3 linked regions of the Drosophila melanogaster genome follow. The protein of the gene in region 1 interacts with the protein of each later gene in a pairwise test. Each region holds a gene or a part of one and is shown in the gene's direction. Other genes may lie near its edges.

Region 1 (4,950 bases):
ACCGCTCTGTCTTGATTTCCTGATACCATAATATCGCTAATACAGCTTGTCTGCTTCGCTCCGTTCCCCTCCCTTCCGCCTCATTCCGATTCAATTCGATTCGATTCGTTTCGGTGCGGTTTGGTTTGGTTCGGCGTGGCCGTTTTGTTTCCTTTCAGTAATCATCGCCAGCTCGTGCTGCGTAGACGGCCAGTCCTATCTCTTCAGCGTGGAGAACGTTCTCCACGAGTCCGCCCGCCCACTGCCCTACAACTTGACAAACGCCAACGGAACCACCGAGGTGGAATTGTTTCCCGACACCATCTCAAACAACACGCGGATTATTGTCTACAAGAACAGTGAGTATCTGAAGGATGCAATACTAAATGTGCATGAGGCATCAGACTAAGATTTTTGTGCTAGATAGAAAAAGATACTTTGAGTAAATCGTTCAATCATTTCTATTTCACTTAGGCTGTCAGCCACTCAGCCACTTATTTTTAGAGTCTTATTAATGTTAAAGAATAAATTAAATTGATTTATATCGATAAGATTTGCTACAAAACGTCACTGATTACTTTGGTAGTAGAATTGACTTGAGTACCATACAAAGTGAAAATAAACGAGATCGATTGAACAGGCCATTTCAACTGCCATAAACATTTGTAACCCTTGTAACGCTCGCCCACCGGTAATATCTTAATTTCAGTGGACCCTTGAAACCGGCAATCAACAACGATTCCCGTCTAATTACTATATACCCGCCACTAGGGTTAGCCCCTATCAATGGGGCTCATTTAAGCCATTAGCGTAGTTCGATGACGCGCAAGTATTGCAGTCGAGCAGTTTCGTCATAAAGTTTATAGCACAGACCCACAATTCGTGACTAGAAGCACAACAGCACCAACTGATAACTTGCTGCTGGGATGAAATTCTAGCAATTCTAGTTATTTCCATATAGAGTCTGGACCTTATATTTCAATTAGACTGGGGAGATTTGTCTATGCTTTGGCTGCGATATAAGCCCTATAGTAGTCACGATCAAAACTAATTAATACCTAACACTTTCAGCTGTCGTCGAGTCGCCCAACGATCTGTCCCAGACGGCAATGGATGTGATCACGATTGTGTGGTATGTGGCCACTTTCCTGGCCCTGGCCGCCTTCTTCATGCTGATGGCCTGTTCGGATCGCAGATGCCGCGACATGAGGCGTCGTCCCGCCGGAGGTCAATCCACCGAGGGTCTGAGGGCACCACCCACGCCCTCGCCATCCTACAGCGAATTTGCGCCTCCCAGCTACGATACGGTGATCAAGATGCAGCACGCGGCCAAGACGAGCGTGTTTGTGATACCGTTCAGCAACAAGGCCGGTGAATTGGGTGCACCACCGTCGGGTACGCCGCCCCCAACTTCCAACCCATTGCCAGCCGCAGTCACCTGCGATGTGATCATCGTCAATGAACTGCAGAAGTCCGCTGACTAAGCAACCGATAAGCCGACGGTGGATCCCTGGATCCGGCCTTACTATTCCGACTCTGTGATATTTGCTGTTTATGGCAAAGGGCCAAGTATTAGATGTCGTAAGATCCCCACAAAAAGACTGACAATGAAAGATATCTGTGTGCGCATATGCATTCAAATGCCAGTTCAACTGAAACTAGATGATTAAGTAATTAACTTTAATAAATCATAGCCATATCGTAAATGATTCATCCAACGGGATGTTTGCTAAATGTTTACCAAGAACTCGGCTTTCCAGTTAATCAGGGGCTTATGGGGAATATTCAAAGTTGGGGGCAAGTTATCTGGCAACTTGCTTGGCAAAAGCTTTCGAGCAAACAGATTCCGTAGACCAAAACCATTTAGTTTCGCTCGGGTGAAAGCTTTCTGCGGAAACGAATTCAAAACTGAGTACTGATAAGCGTTCGGGGGAAGCTTTTTCGTTCTGATGTTAACTTACACTTGATGCGAACGGATTGGGATTGACAAGGCCTGAAACTGAACCCCCTTCATTCAGTATCAGGTGATCTGGAGTTGAAGTGCTCGCCGTGCGTTTATCCAAGAGAAAACACTGTTTGTTTGAACACTGCGCTGGCCAAATAATGGGGCAAGTTAAGCAAACATAAATAAGGCACTTCCCCCTCCCATTGCCATTTGGATGCTCAGGGTCAGGCGTTCGGTTCATTCATTGATCGATTCCAGTGAATTTCAATTTCTTTCCAGCCGCCGTTGTTTAGATCGAGCGAAGGTAACATCTGGCCCAAAACAGACCTGTTGTTGTTTCTGGGGCACAGCCAGCACACCGCGTATGCGTAATATTTCGATTCTTCGGCGTTTGTTTACTTTCCACGCACATATTTCACACAAATTGTTTTCGAAAATTACACAAACACCGCCGACAAGAACTGAGCGCTGGCAGAGCAAGATGATAGCTAGATGTTTGTGCCAAACCAGATCGGATTGCAGTAAAATCACGTTACGCCCCGCTCAATGCGGTTCTTGTTCTTTCGCCTGCTCCGCGCCGATGGTCGTTGATTGCCCCGTTGATTGGTCGCCCGAGTTGAGCGCTTGATTGTGGGTCCATTCATTGGGCGATCTCCAGTGCACCGCGAGAAATTTCAAAGCTGTAACTATCTTTAAAAGCTAATGGTAAAAAGCATTCGATAAAAGGGTCAACGGTGCTAGTCATAACAGAAGAGCTCTCTATACTAAATCATCATTATGCATTCTGTTTCATATGCATATCACCGCTGCTGTAAAACGAATAATCTTTACATTACTATTTTTTTTCCAGTGTAGAAACGCGTTTATAGATGTTAAATATTAACCACTGATAAGTACAAGCTAATAACAACAATAATCGTAACAACGCGCTCTGGTTTTCTCCGTGTGCACTCAAGAGCGTTGCTGATTGAAGCGGATGAAGCCGAAGCCGATCGGAGTTGGTCAATTTTCTAAACTCTCTCACGGTCTTCAATTGAACGGCACTTCCTCGACTTCCTCCCGTCGCCCCCGCCCTTTCACACTCTACGTCCCAATCTTCCGCTCGCTCCGTCTCTTTCTCTTTCTCCGCGTCTAGTTGTGCAAAAACGCTCGCTCTTTCTCCCTCTCGCGCTGTTGCTCTCCCGTCTCCGTCGGCAAAGTAATTTTTCGTTGAAAAGCCTCTGTGGCGTAATTAGCTGGGATCAGTTCAACGCAAACCGCGCCATCGAGAGGAAGTGGATTACTGCTGCTGCCAAGCTGCCAGAGTGAAGTGCATTGAAAGCAGAGCGAATCAGAACGAAATTCAAAACGTATCACGCATACGCCCGGTAGTACAGCCGAATATCCCCAAATAGCCGAATATGTCGCCGAGAAGGAGCTTGCTGTGCTGCCTGCTGGTGAGCAGCATCCTAGTGCTGCACCAGGCTCAGGCCAACATCGAGACAAACGATGTGAATGACCCCAGTTACTACAGTAAGTGTGCGATGTGGATCAGGCGGCCATAGCGAACTACCACTTAACCCATTCAAATCGCAGTGCTGCAGGGTGTGCGTGTGTATCCCAATGACCGACAGTGCGTCATGGTCGGAGGACTGTGTGTCGCGGAGTCGGACTGCATCGAACCCACCTCGAACAAGGGATTGTGTCCCACGAGTGCCGGAGAGGGCGTGGAGTGCTGCTACGAACGTGAGTAGATTGCTGGCTCTCTGCTGTGTGTACCATCCTGCTTAAAACCTGCAAAAACCCCAAACAATCCCCAAAATATCCCCAAAAATCCTAAAAAACCCCATCAGTCCGATCAAACCCAACACCTGCTTCGCATCGCTAAAAATCTAACCACAATCAAATTGGCATCGTTACCGAATTACCCGAATATCGCCACTAACCCTTGACAACCCGATCCATTCTGTGTGTCCCATCGCCCTCGAAAACGTCAAACGTCATCCCATTGCCGTTGCAGTGCCGGTCAGACCAGCGCCCTGTGCGGAACACCTGGGACAGTGCATGGACCGATGCCACCAGAGGCTCCTGCGACCCGGTTCGGATTGCAAGAATGGCCAAGTCTGCTGCGTCCTGATTTAGTTATACTTAACCACACCATACACATACCCGTGCAGAGGAACAGCATCGTCAAATGATAACAAAATAGCCTCCAAGTTGGGCAAGTCAGAGTGACAATTCTTGAATACCTAAAGTTTATATTCGAGACTTCTAGAATATTCGAAAAATATTAGACAACACTAACATTAAATTGATTTGACAAAATTGAGTGCTGAGCGGATTGAAACTAATTTGGTTGTGTCATTCCTCTGTACACATACACACACACACACACCGTACATAAACATGTATTTATTTAACTATATGTATATTAATTATATTGTACGAATAATTTTGTATGACATCTTAAGAGCCCCAAATCTACCCACAATGTGAAATATTTGACTGCTTCCAATAAATGCATTGTAAATATTTTCCAAAACAAATCTCTACTCACTCGAACGGTCACGTATCTGAGGATTATGTAAGTATATGCATACGGGTATGATCAGCTGACGGCCCCCAGTTCTGAAACCCTTATCATCTGGCGGAGCTCGGCCGTCACGTGCCCCAAGTACAGTTGGGTGATCGAAGTGCCCCGAATCGGGATTGGGAATGAAAACAATAATAGCCGCATCATCGACAAACTAATTCCAGAGATGATGGGCCAGTGTGAATCACAAGATGAAGATGGCAATTGAAAACAACAGCTTATCGCTCCGCCAACATTCAATGTCAAGTTCAAAACACGAAAATCAGTTCGATCCTTGGACCGCCTTCTATAAATACAGTTTGGAATATTTTCCAAACAGTTCTCAACCGAAATAAACGAAACGACCTTGCCACGCATCGCGAACATATACCATCCACATCCATGTGCCGCGCATGCCTTGCTTTTCTGTACTACCCGATATCTGTTTGTATCTGTATCTTTCGGTTTGCATGAT
Region 2 (3,664 bases), on another chromosome or scaffold:
TAGTTTTTTGTATTGTCAATTTCTATCCAATTCAATTTCTAGCCAAACAAATTTTGCACCGCCCTAATTTGCCCATACTTATAAAACATAATTCTGAATTTTATTTATTGATTTATGTTATCATAATGGGTATTGGATAGTCGAGTTTCTTGTATATAACGTTCTCCCTTCCTTCTATTTGTTTTTTTTACTTGGCTTTTGACCCAATGCCTTGGACCTTGTTCTTATTTTTTGTTTGCCCTAGACTCGTTGGCGTCGACTTTTAGGTTGTTGCACTTTGGTACCACAGTTATCAAAATTTCGATTGCTCTATTTTATTGCTGTATTTTATTTTGACCGATACAACTGCAGGATAGCCCATGTGTAAACAATCAGCAAACCATTTGTTATATTCCTGCAGTGAATGAAGATTAATTTCAGTCATAAAAAAAGAAAGGGAAGGCTACCGGAGAGGTGCTAAATAACTCCGCTCTCTGAGATAAATTATGCGCAATTTCTCCTCTGCAAACTTATTCAGCACCTTAAAGCTTAAGTACTCCAAACTAAGCTTTCGCGGCTTAAAGCTAAAAATCTTTATTTTATGATAAAAAGCTCAATTTTATGAGCATGTACTTTTTTACGTTTTTAACATGCCGTTTTTTTTTTTAAGAAGGACTTGGACATCTGTATAAGGCAACATATCCATGTGAATTTACAAGGAGAAAACGATTCAGTCGATCTTGTCGGCTTACAGATACGTGTTACTACTCCGCTAGAGGAAGTGCGTTGGAGTTGGATATATGTAGATAACATATCGATAGATTTACAAAATTAAATTTTCAAATGTGTCGGCGTGGCAGTTTTGGGGGGTTTGGGGGCCTTAGAGTGGGCGTGGTAATATTTCAACAAACTTGCGCTGGTTCTGTCTCTAGAATATGTATGCTTAATATAAACCTTCCAGCTTTTATAATTCCTGAGATGTCGACGTTATACGGCCGGACAGACGGACAGTGCCAGATCGACTGGGCTATTGATACTGATCAAGAATATATAAACTTTATATGGTCGGAAACGCTTCTTTCTACTTGTTACATACATTTTCAACGAATCTAGTATACTCTTTTAGTCTGCAAGTAACGGGTATAAGAAGTATAATTTGAACTGTATAAAGGTTAAACTGTATGTAGGTTAAAGTACTTATGCGGTAAATGAATCTTATTTCTAGTACTTATCTAATCATCCCACATTAAAGCAACTGATTAAATAATACCATTGAAGATTGCACACATTTGTATATAGAGAGTGGGAGAGAGCGATATCTTCCTCCATATGGGTATCCTAAACCTGCCGACTCACGTTTGCCGGCATGACAGGTTGGGTTACCCCATTAGCTGAGAATTTCTTTTTGATGAAGCAATAATCGAAGGAGTGTTTTCTTTTGGATTCGTATTCGTTTGATACCGCTGTGAGCCATAAAATGTAACCCATTAGGTTAGTATGGTTGCGATTATAATGGTGGTGTCATCATCATTTAGCCAAAAACCTGAGATTTATTCCACTGGTCCATTCATAAAAGGCCATCATTTGAAGCTTAGATAATGTTTAATTAATAAATACGCGTTTTTCGTATTTCAATGGTACTTTTATCGTATCAGATATTTTTTTTAATATTTCCATATTTTTCTTCTTCCAGCAGATAAAGGAAAGTAGTAGATTTAGTTGTCCCTTAAGTTGTGATACAACGATAATTGAATAAAATAAGAACTGGCAATTATATATGCATTAAGCTGTTTACGAGCACCAAACGTAGCCTACTCTGGGTTGGTTTATTAAATAGAATGGCTTTCTTACTTTTTTTTAGATCACGTTGCTTTGCTGAAACTGTCAGTATTTGGACTTGGCTATCACCAGCCATATGGCAAAACATCAGAAGTAAAATTGTCTGTGAACACACAAAGCACACGAAAAAATCTCGGAAAAAAAACTGTACAAAATTTAACTTCGCTCTCGACCAGATTTACAAAATTTTTTTTTTGGCCAAACTTAAAATTAGGAATACAAGAGAACGGTGTGTGTACCAAAATCAAATCGTGTTTAGCTAGTTGGTGAGTCTTATTGGAAGCTCGGCATATTCCGAATATTACTGAAATTTTTTCCCCATTTCCGAATTGCATTTGGTTTCACATGACATACGCACACAATTGGAAGTCGTAATTCTATATGTGTGGGACAGTGTTTACTGAGTATTTGGTTGGGGTTAACTTAAGAATTAATATTTTTTTTTTTTAAATGCGTATTTCAGACGTCAGGATATATGCTACTTTGATTCGTTAACTATTTTCAAGTGATCGGAAGCAAACGCAGAGGCATTTCTAATTTGTGCGTTGCGCGACTTTCAGAGATCGTAGACTCGATTAACCATGGGTAAAAAGGGCAAAGGAAAGAAGGGCAAGAAGCCCGCCGCAGTTGTGGCTCCCATCGAAGCGCCACCATGTCCTCCGTGTCCGGAACCACCAAAGCAGATGCAACCACTTGACGCTTGTCCAGAGTCTAGCGGACCCCACGATGTCCTTCGGGCTCAACCGAATCATTACCCGGCTCTTCTTCGTATTCCGGAAACAATGGCGGTGGTGGGCTCTGAGAATGGATGCTACGATAGCATTTGCAAGCTCCTGAGAGCCGGATTCCGGTGTGCCGAGCGGGTTTTCGTGATGGCCCCTTGGGGCAACTACGTGGTTTTCCGGTATCACAACAATAATGACTTTATTTACTTCCTGTTTGATGGATGCACCTGCGATGTTAATAGGTTCCGCTATCTAGACCTCAGCTGCGGAACTGCTGGATTTCTTTTCTTCGATAATATGCACGACGTTATTAGTTATATTATCCAGTCTCGAAAGACGCGTCTATATCTGGAGAATCTAAACAAGATTGCCATTGATCAGATTGTGGAGGAGTATGGCGCTGTAACGTACACCCAAAAGGCAAAATGCATGCGATTCGCTTAAATAGGTCCCATATGATTTCTAACAAAAGAGGGCAACGCATACACAACGAGGATAATACTGGACGACAAGCTTTGCTCTAAACATTTAACATATTTTGGCACAATCTTTATCAATAAATAATAATCTCTTTGAAAGCAACTAAAACAAATTTGCATAGCTCTAATACCAATAGCGGTGATAGCGATATACCAAAGCGTTTATTTTGCATGTCGAAGTTAATCCTTTTGTAGAGTTTTGCTGGGAAAGTTGAGGTTAGCGTACGATCAAAAGAAGTTAAATAACAATAGTCGACATAAATTATTGCAATATTACTGTGGATAAAATACAAATCGTAAATATAATATCAAAAATTAGAGACTTACAGGGTGTGAGAATTTTGTCAATTAGAGTACAGATTCCAAGTCGATTAGCGTTCGATTAATTCCATTCATTTGAGTGGTATGGAAATTATGCATGTGCATCATTTTGCTAATATTCGGCTCAAAAGAATGAAGCGGAGGATTCCAGCTTAACGTGCACAACAAATCCCTCAAATTATTATTGCTTGCTACAAAATGAAAAAAGAAGAAACCCAATAGAAACAAGGTGAACCTTCCAAGTAAGGGGTCAATTTTTGGAGGCCCATGGATTGCGAAAACCGCAAAGCATTTGCAATAAAGTGCCAAACAAGCGCCGGC
Region 3 (4,711 bases), on another chromosome or scaffold:
CGCTAGAAATCCACTTCAGCCGACTGCTCCGTTTGCAGCCCATCATCTGCTCCAACCCGGCGGCTTCGTCCTCATCCTCCATCATCGATATGGAGCAATGGCTTCATTTCGAGTGACACTTGTCGCTGGAGCTCTGCGGGACTGGGTGCCTGCCAGCTCGGTGCACTTTCCGCTGCTTTATGGTCTTGCCCGTCTCCCAAAATGGCATTGGGGTCGGTATGACATTCGGACGACTATGGACTGTCGATTGCCGTCCGCTGATTGCTGATTGCCGCTGAGTTGTTTTGACAATTTAATAGCCGAACCGCTTGGCGGTGACGCTTTATGTCACAATTTGCCCCAATTAATTCATTGCGGAAATCAAGGTAATTAGCATGGAATCACATGGTCTTTTCTTGCTCTCATTCTCATTTAAACTTTACCAGGAAATATTGTTTTCTCAAACGATAAATTCAGGGCAATATATTTGATTAGAAAATACTGTTTTTGAATAAAAATTTGATTACTCAATATATATCCAAATTCAATTTGATTTTAATTATTATCGTTTTAAAAGCTTAAGCAATTTTTAATACTCTGCCAGCAATTACATATCAACCTTAAATTATCTACAGATGAGGACTAGTTCAAAACACGAATACTAAACGAAGACAATTTTGATGTTAACGACCTTCCTTTTGCATCGCTCAGTTTTTGGATTGTAAATAGAAAAAATCATATATTTTGAGAAGAGCGTCTGACTATATACATACAGCATAGTGTTATACCATATTATCACAAAGCAAATGTTTTGTATGAAAATAAATTTATACATTTTTGCCCTATGCAGGCGAAGTATCACTTCACAGTCTGCCCCAAAAGCCACTTTGCCGGGGCACTTAACACTCAGCAGAATCCAATCAAGTCGATTGATACAAGATTATGTATTGATTCGACTACTGCTTATTGAAAATTCCATAAATTAGCAAATGAAAAACAGAGCGTTTGGCGCTAATGAAATCTCGTACGTCTTTATGGCGCAACCTAAACAAAACGGCTGGAAATCTCCGATGTCCGAGCACGGAATGTGCTTAATATCATTAAAATCAATAAAATAAACAACTAATTTGATAAGCTGACAGCTGGGCTACCCGAAGTGGCGGGCTATTCGTCCGCCGTGACAATGAGGAGCGGGCTGGAAAATGCATCCCCGCGAGCTTTCAATTGGCTGCCCGTCGGTCCAATCAGCATTTGGGCCCCCTGCACAGGCGCACGCCGCACGCTGTCGGCCCACCACCCAATGGCCAACCGCAGTGGGTGTTAATTTTCGCGAAACCAGTTTGCCGAGCGAGAGGGCGCTATGGTCGGGTGGGTTCCAATTGGACTGAGTGCGCAGCCTCTGTGCTCTTCTGTCCGACTCTGGAGCATGCGAGGAGGCGGCCATTTTCTTAGAGTTGTCGCACTCGCACCCATGGCTCAGGCCTATCCGACAGAGTGGTGGCTTGTGCCGAATACACCATGGCAAGCGCAACTCACCACAGGCAGGTCATACGCCTGGCCTGCTCGCACTCGCGCTTTCGTTACCCTCTATTCATTTTACGTCGTGCATAGGTCGATCCCATTCGCACGCATGCGATCGTCGGCAGATATTTTCACGAGGCAACACAGCAGCGAGTTAGAATTTCAGGAGCATTTCAGTCCTGCTGCGCATCTTGAAACGTCAAGTCTTGGCATTCGGTTAGCGTCAAGTCTTGCTGCGATTCGAACGCCCCAGAAACGCATCGCGCGCGAGTGCATTACGTAAATAAGTATCAAGTCGCATGCGAAATATCTAAGAGCGAAATAAGCGCACAGTATATACAGCTAAGTGAGGTGACCTCAGTGCGTGATGGGCTCATTGGCCTAGCAAAGTGCGAATCGAAAACTTGTAGTTCAGTTCTTTCTGAATTAATTTTAAAAACATATAAGCGAGCAATAACACTGTAACCATGATGATGAACGCCTTCATTGAGCCGGCTCAGCACCACCTGGCCAGCTACGGGCTGCGAATGTCGCCCAACACCACCGCCAGTAACAGCAACGCGCAGCAGCAACAGCAGCAGCAACTGGAGATGACCCAACAGCAGCAGCAACAACAGCAACAACAGCAGCAGCAACAGCAACAGGATCAGGAATCCGCGGCGGCCACTGCTGCAGCCTATCAGAACTCCGGATATGGGCACTTTAACAGCTATGCCTCCCGGGACTTTTTGCTGGGCAGGAGGGAGGCCGAGTACGGTGTGGCAGGATCCGCCGGACAGGCCTCCGCCGCAGCGGATTCCATGCTCTTCTCCGGCTTTCCCGCTCAGGCCGCGGAGCTGGGCTCCGGGTTCGGACAACACCCCTTCCACAGCCACCATCACCACCATCAGATGCGAATGGGCATGGCGGATGCCTACGCCGCCGGCCACCCGTACAACCACCACGGCAACTTCCCGACGGCGGCAGTGCACCACCCGGTCGTGCACCACCCGTCCCACCACGCCATGTCCGCGATGCACCCGGCCGGAGCAGGGGCCTTCCTGCGCTACATGCGCCATCAGCCGGCCTCGTCCGCCTCCAGCGTTAAGCAGGAGATGCAGTGCCTCTGGATAGACCCCGACCAGCCGGGCCTGGTGCCCCCGGGCGGCAGGAAGACCTGCAACAAGGTATTCCACTCGATGCACGAGATCGTCACCCACCTGACCGTGGAGCACGTGGGCGGACCCGAGTGCACCACCCACGCCTGCTTCTGGGTGGGCTGCTCTCGCAACGGACGCCCTTTCAAGGCCAAGTACAAGCTGGTCAACCACATCCGCGTCCACACCGGCGAGAAACCTTTCGCCTGCCCGCACCCGGGTTGCGGCAAGGTCTTCGCCCGGAGCGAGAACCTCAAGATCCACAAGCGGACGCATACAGGTAAGTGTGGCGGTGCATTCCGCTTTATATTTAAACCATATTAAACCATTCATTAAACTAAGAAAATACTTTTATTTAGTTTTGGTTTGGCAGTCAAATTCTGTGTGTAATTATTCCTGTTTTATAAAGATCTTAATACTAATAGAAAGTCGAAGCCTTATGCAGATTTTAACCGCTTATATTTAGAATAGCACATGCTAGGTCTGCAATCTCTTAGAATTCACCTTGCGTGGGCATAACCCTTGCCCGCCTGGGCAAATCCCGGACGTTGTCGATGTGAGCGTGTTACCGACGGCAAAAGTCGTTGCAACGCCCACTACCTGGCTTAACCCGCCACTGGCCGGGCGGGTCATCTTTTATGACACCTGTAAAACCTGCGCCCAAAGCTCTTCCGCGCCCAGAAAATCCCGCAAAGATGTTGTCCTTACGGCTAGGATTACTCTACGGCTTTAGGTTGACTTCGACTTTTGGTCTTAGTATTTCCCTAAGCCTGCGACTTCTCTTGACTTTGGATTTTGACTGGCATGTATTTAACTACGTTTGGAAACTTGGTCAAATTTGTAAAGGAACTGAAAAATTTAGTTTAGCTACTCCTTTGTTTTTTATACTTTAAGCCTTGTTGTCGGCTTCAGATTTTGTATTATTTAATAATAATGGCTTACTATTACTTTGATAGCCAACCGCTCTATGCAAATTCTCAATATAATTAATTTTTCTTAAATCCATCATTAATCATGCCCATTTCAAGCATTTCTCTTTCAATTGTCTTTCAAAAATAAATTAAAATCGCTTTGCAGCTCATAGCCTGAACACTTTTGAAAAAACATAGCCATAGTTGGAGGCTTTAAAATACAATTTATGCGGTATAGTCGTGATCTATGAGAAGTCGAACTATAAAGCCAGAAACGGAGCTTAACGCAAATTAATGACTTTGATTCCAGTGGCTGTTGAACTTGTTCCATTGAAATTTATGGCTGAGCATGTAGGGCTCATTAGAAGCGGCGAAACACAGCCATTAAAATCAATTAACAAGTGGAAGTTGGGAAAGCAAACATGAAATGCGAAAACACAAAACAAAGTTTCGCATAATTGGTGAAAAGAGCGCCAATCAGGTTAATAAACTTTCCAGCAAATATCGCTTGGTCCTGGATTATCCTTGATTGACCTCAGCCTTGGCGTAATTAACTTGGAAATTGGAGGAGAAGAATGAAAATATGGCCAGCAATATTCCGCAATATCCAGCATGCTTATATTTTGTTGTTTTAATGTTGGCTTTTGGCATTTGTTGTTGCCTCTTTATTTCTATTATTTTGTAATTTGGCCTCATGATTCCAAATTGAATTAAAATAAGACGTCGGGCTTCATTATAGCTTCATCTTGTAGTTACCGCGATTATAAACTCACAAAGAAATTCATAAATCACAGAATTAGCCACACAAAAAAGCTATTTCTGTAAATCTGTTCGGACAACAGTATTTTCTTTTGCACACTCATCGAAAGGTAATTAAAATGTTTCGATTTGATTTCGAGACGCCGCCATATTGTGTTCGATTTTGGAACAATCATGTGGCATTATAATGAGTTGGTTGCTGTATGATGATATTTTTGACTAATTTCATATTTCTTTTCTCCGCCGTGATGCAGCAGAAAAGTGCATTTTAGGACCTCTGACTGATTTGTGTGTGCCTATGATTGGTTGACCTGGCTACACATTGTCGGAGATAGCCAACATATTGATTAGCTTTCAAGTGGCCGGCGCACAACTTCATTACGGATCGGGATCGAGCTGGGATCG

The links. The genes of interacting proteins can lie anywhere in the genome.
Region 2: the proteins of CG10433 (region 1) and CG12470 interact in a two-hybrid assay, tested with the Drosophila melanogaster proteins (one large-scale study listed by BioGRID).
Region 3: the proteins of CG10433 (region 1) and opa interact in a two-hybrid assay, tested with the Drosophila melanogaster proteins (one large-scale study listed by BioGRID).

Annotation. Positions count from the first base shown.
Region 1 is NT_033778.4:21,605,167-21,610,116, reverse strand, and holds CG10433 (uncharacterized protein), read left to right. Parts: upstream 1-1,991; 5' UTR 1,992-2,606; intron 2,607-2,774; 5' UTR 2,775-3,324; coding exon 3,325-3,436; intron 3,437-3,499; coding exon 3,500-3,649; intron 3,650-3,756; coding exon of another isoform or gene 3,757-3,791; exon of another isoform or gene 3,792-3,923; coding exon 3,924-4,045; 3' UTR 4,046-4,441; downstream 4,442-4,950. Other genes in the region: CG15673 (uncharacterized protein), read left to right, coding at 159-338, 1,051-1,463.
Region 2 is NC_004354.4:305,809-309,472, forward strand, and holds CG12470 (uncharacterized protein), read left to right. Parts: upstream 1-1,875; 5' UTR 1,876-2,084; intron 2,085-2,281; 5' UTR 2,282-2,399; coding exon 2,400-2,987; 3' UTR 2,988-3,127; downstream 3,128-3,664.
Region 3 is NT_033777.3:4,851,139-4,855,849, forward strand, and holds the start of opa (odd paired), read left to right. Parts: upstream 1-1,674; 5' UTR 1,675-1,967; coding exon 1,968-2,916; intron 2,917-4,711. UniProt on the Drosophila melanogaster protein: Transcription factor essential for parasegmental subdivision of the embryo. It is involved in the activation of wingless (wg) in odd parasegments.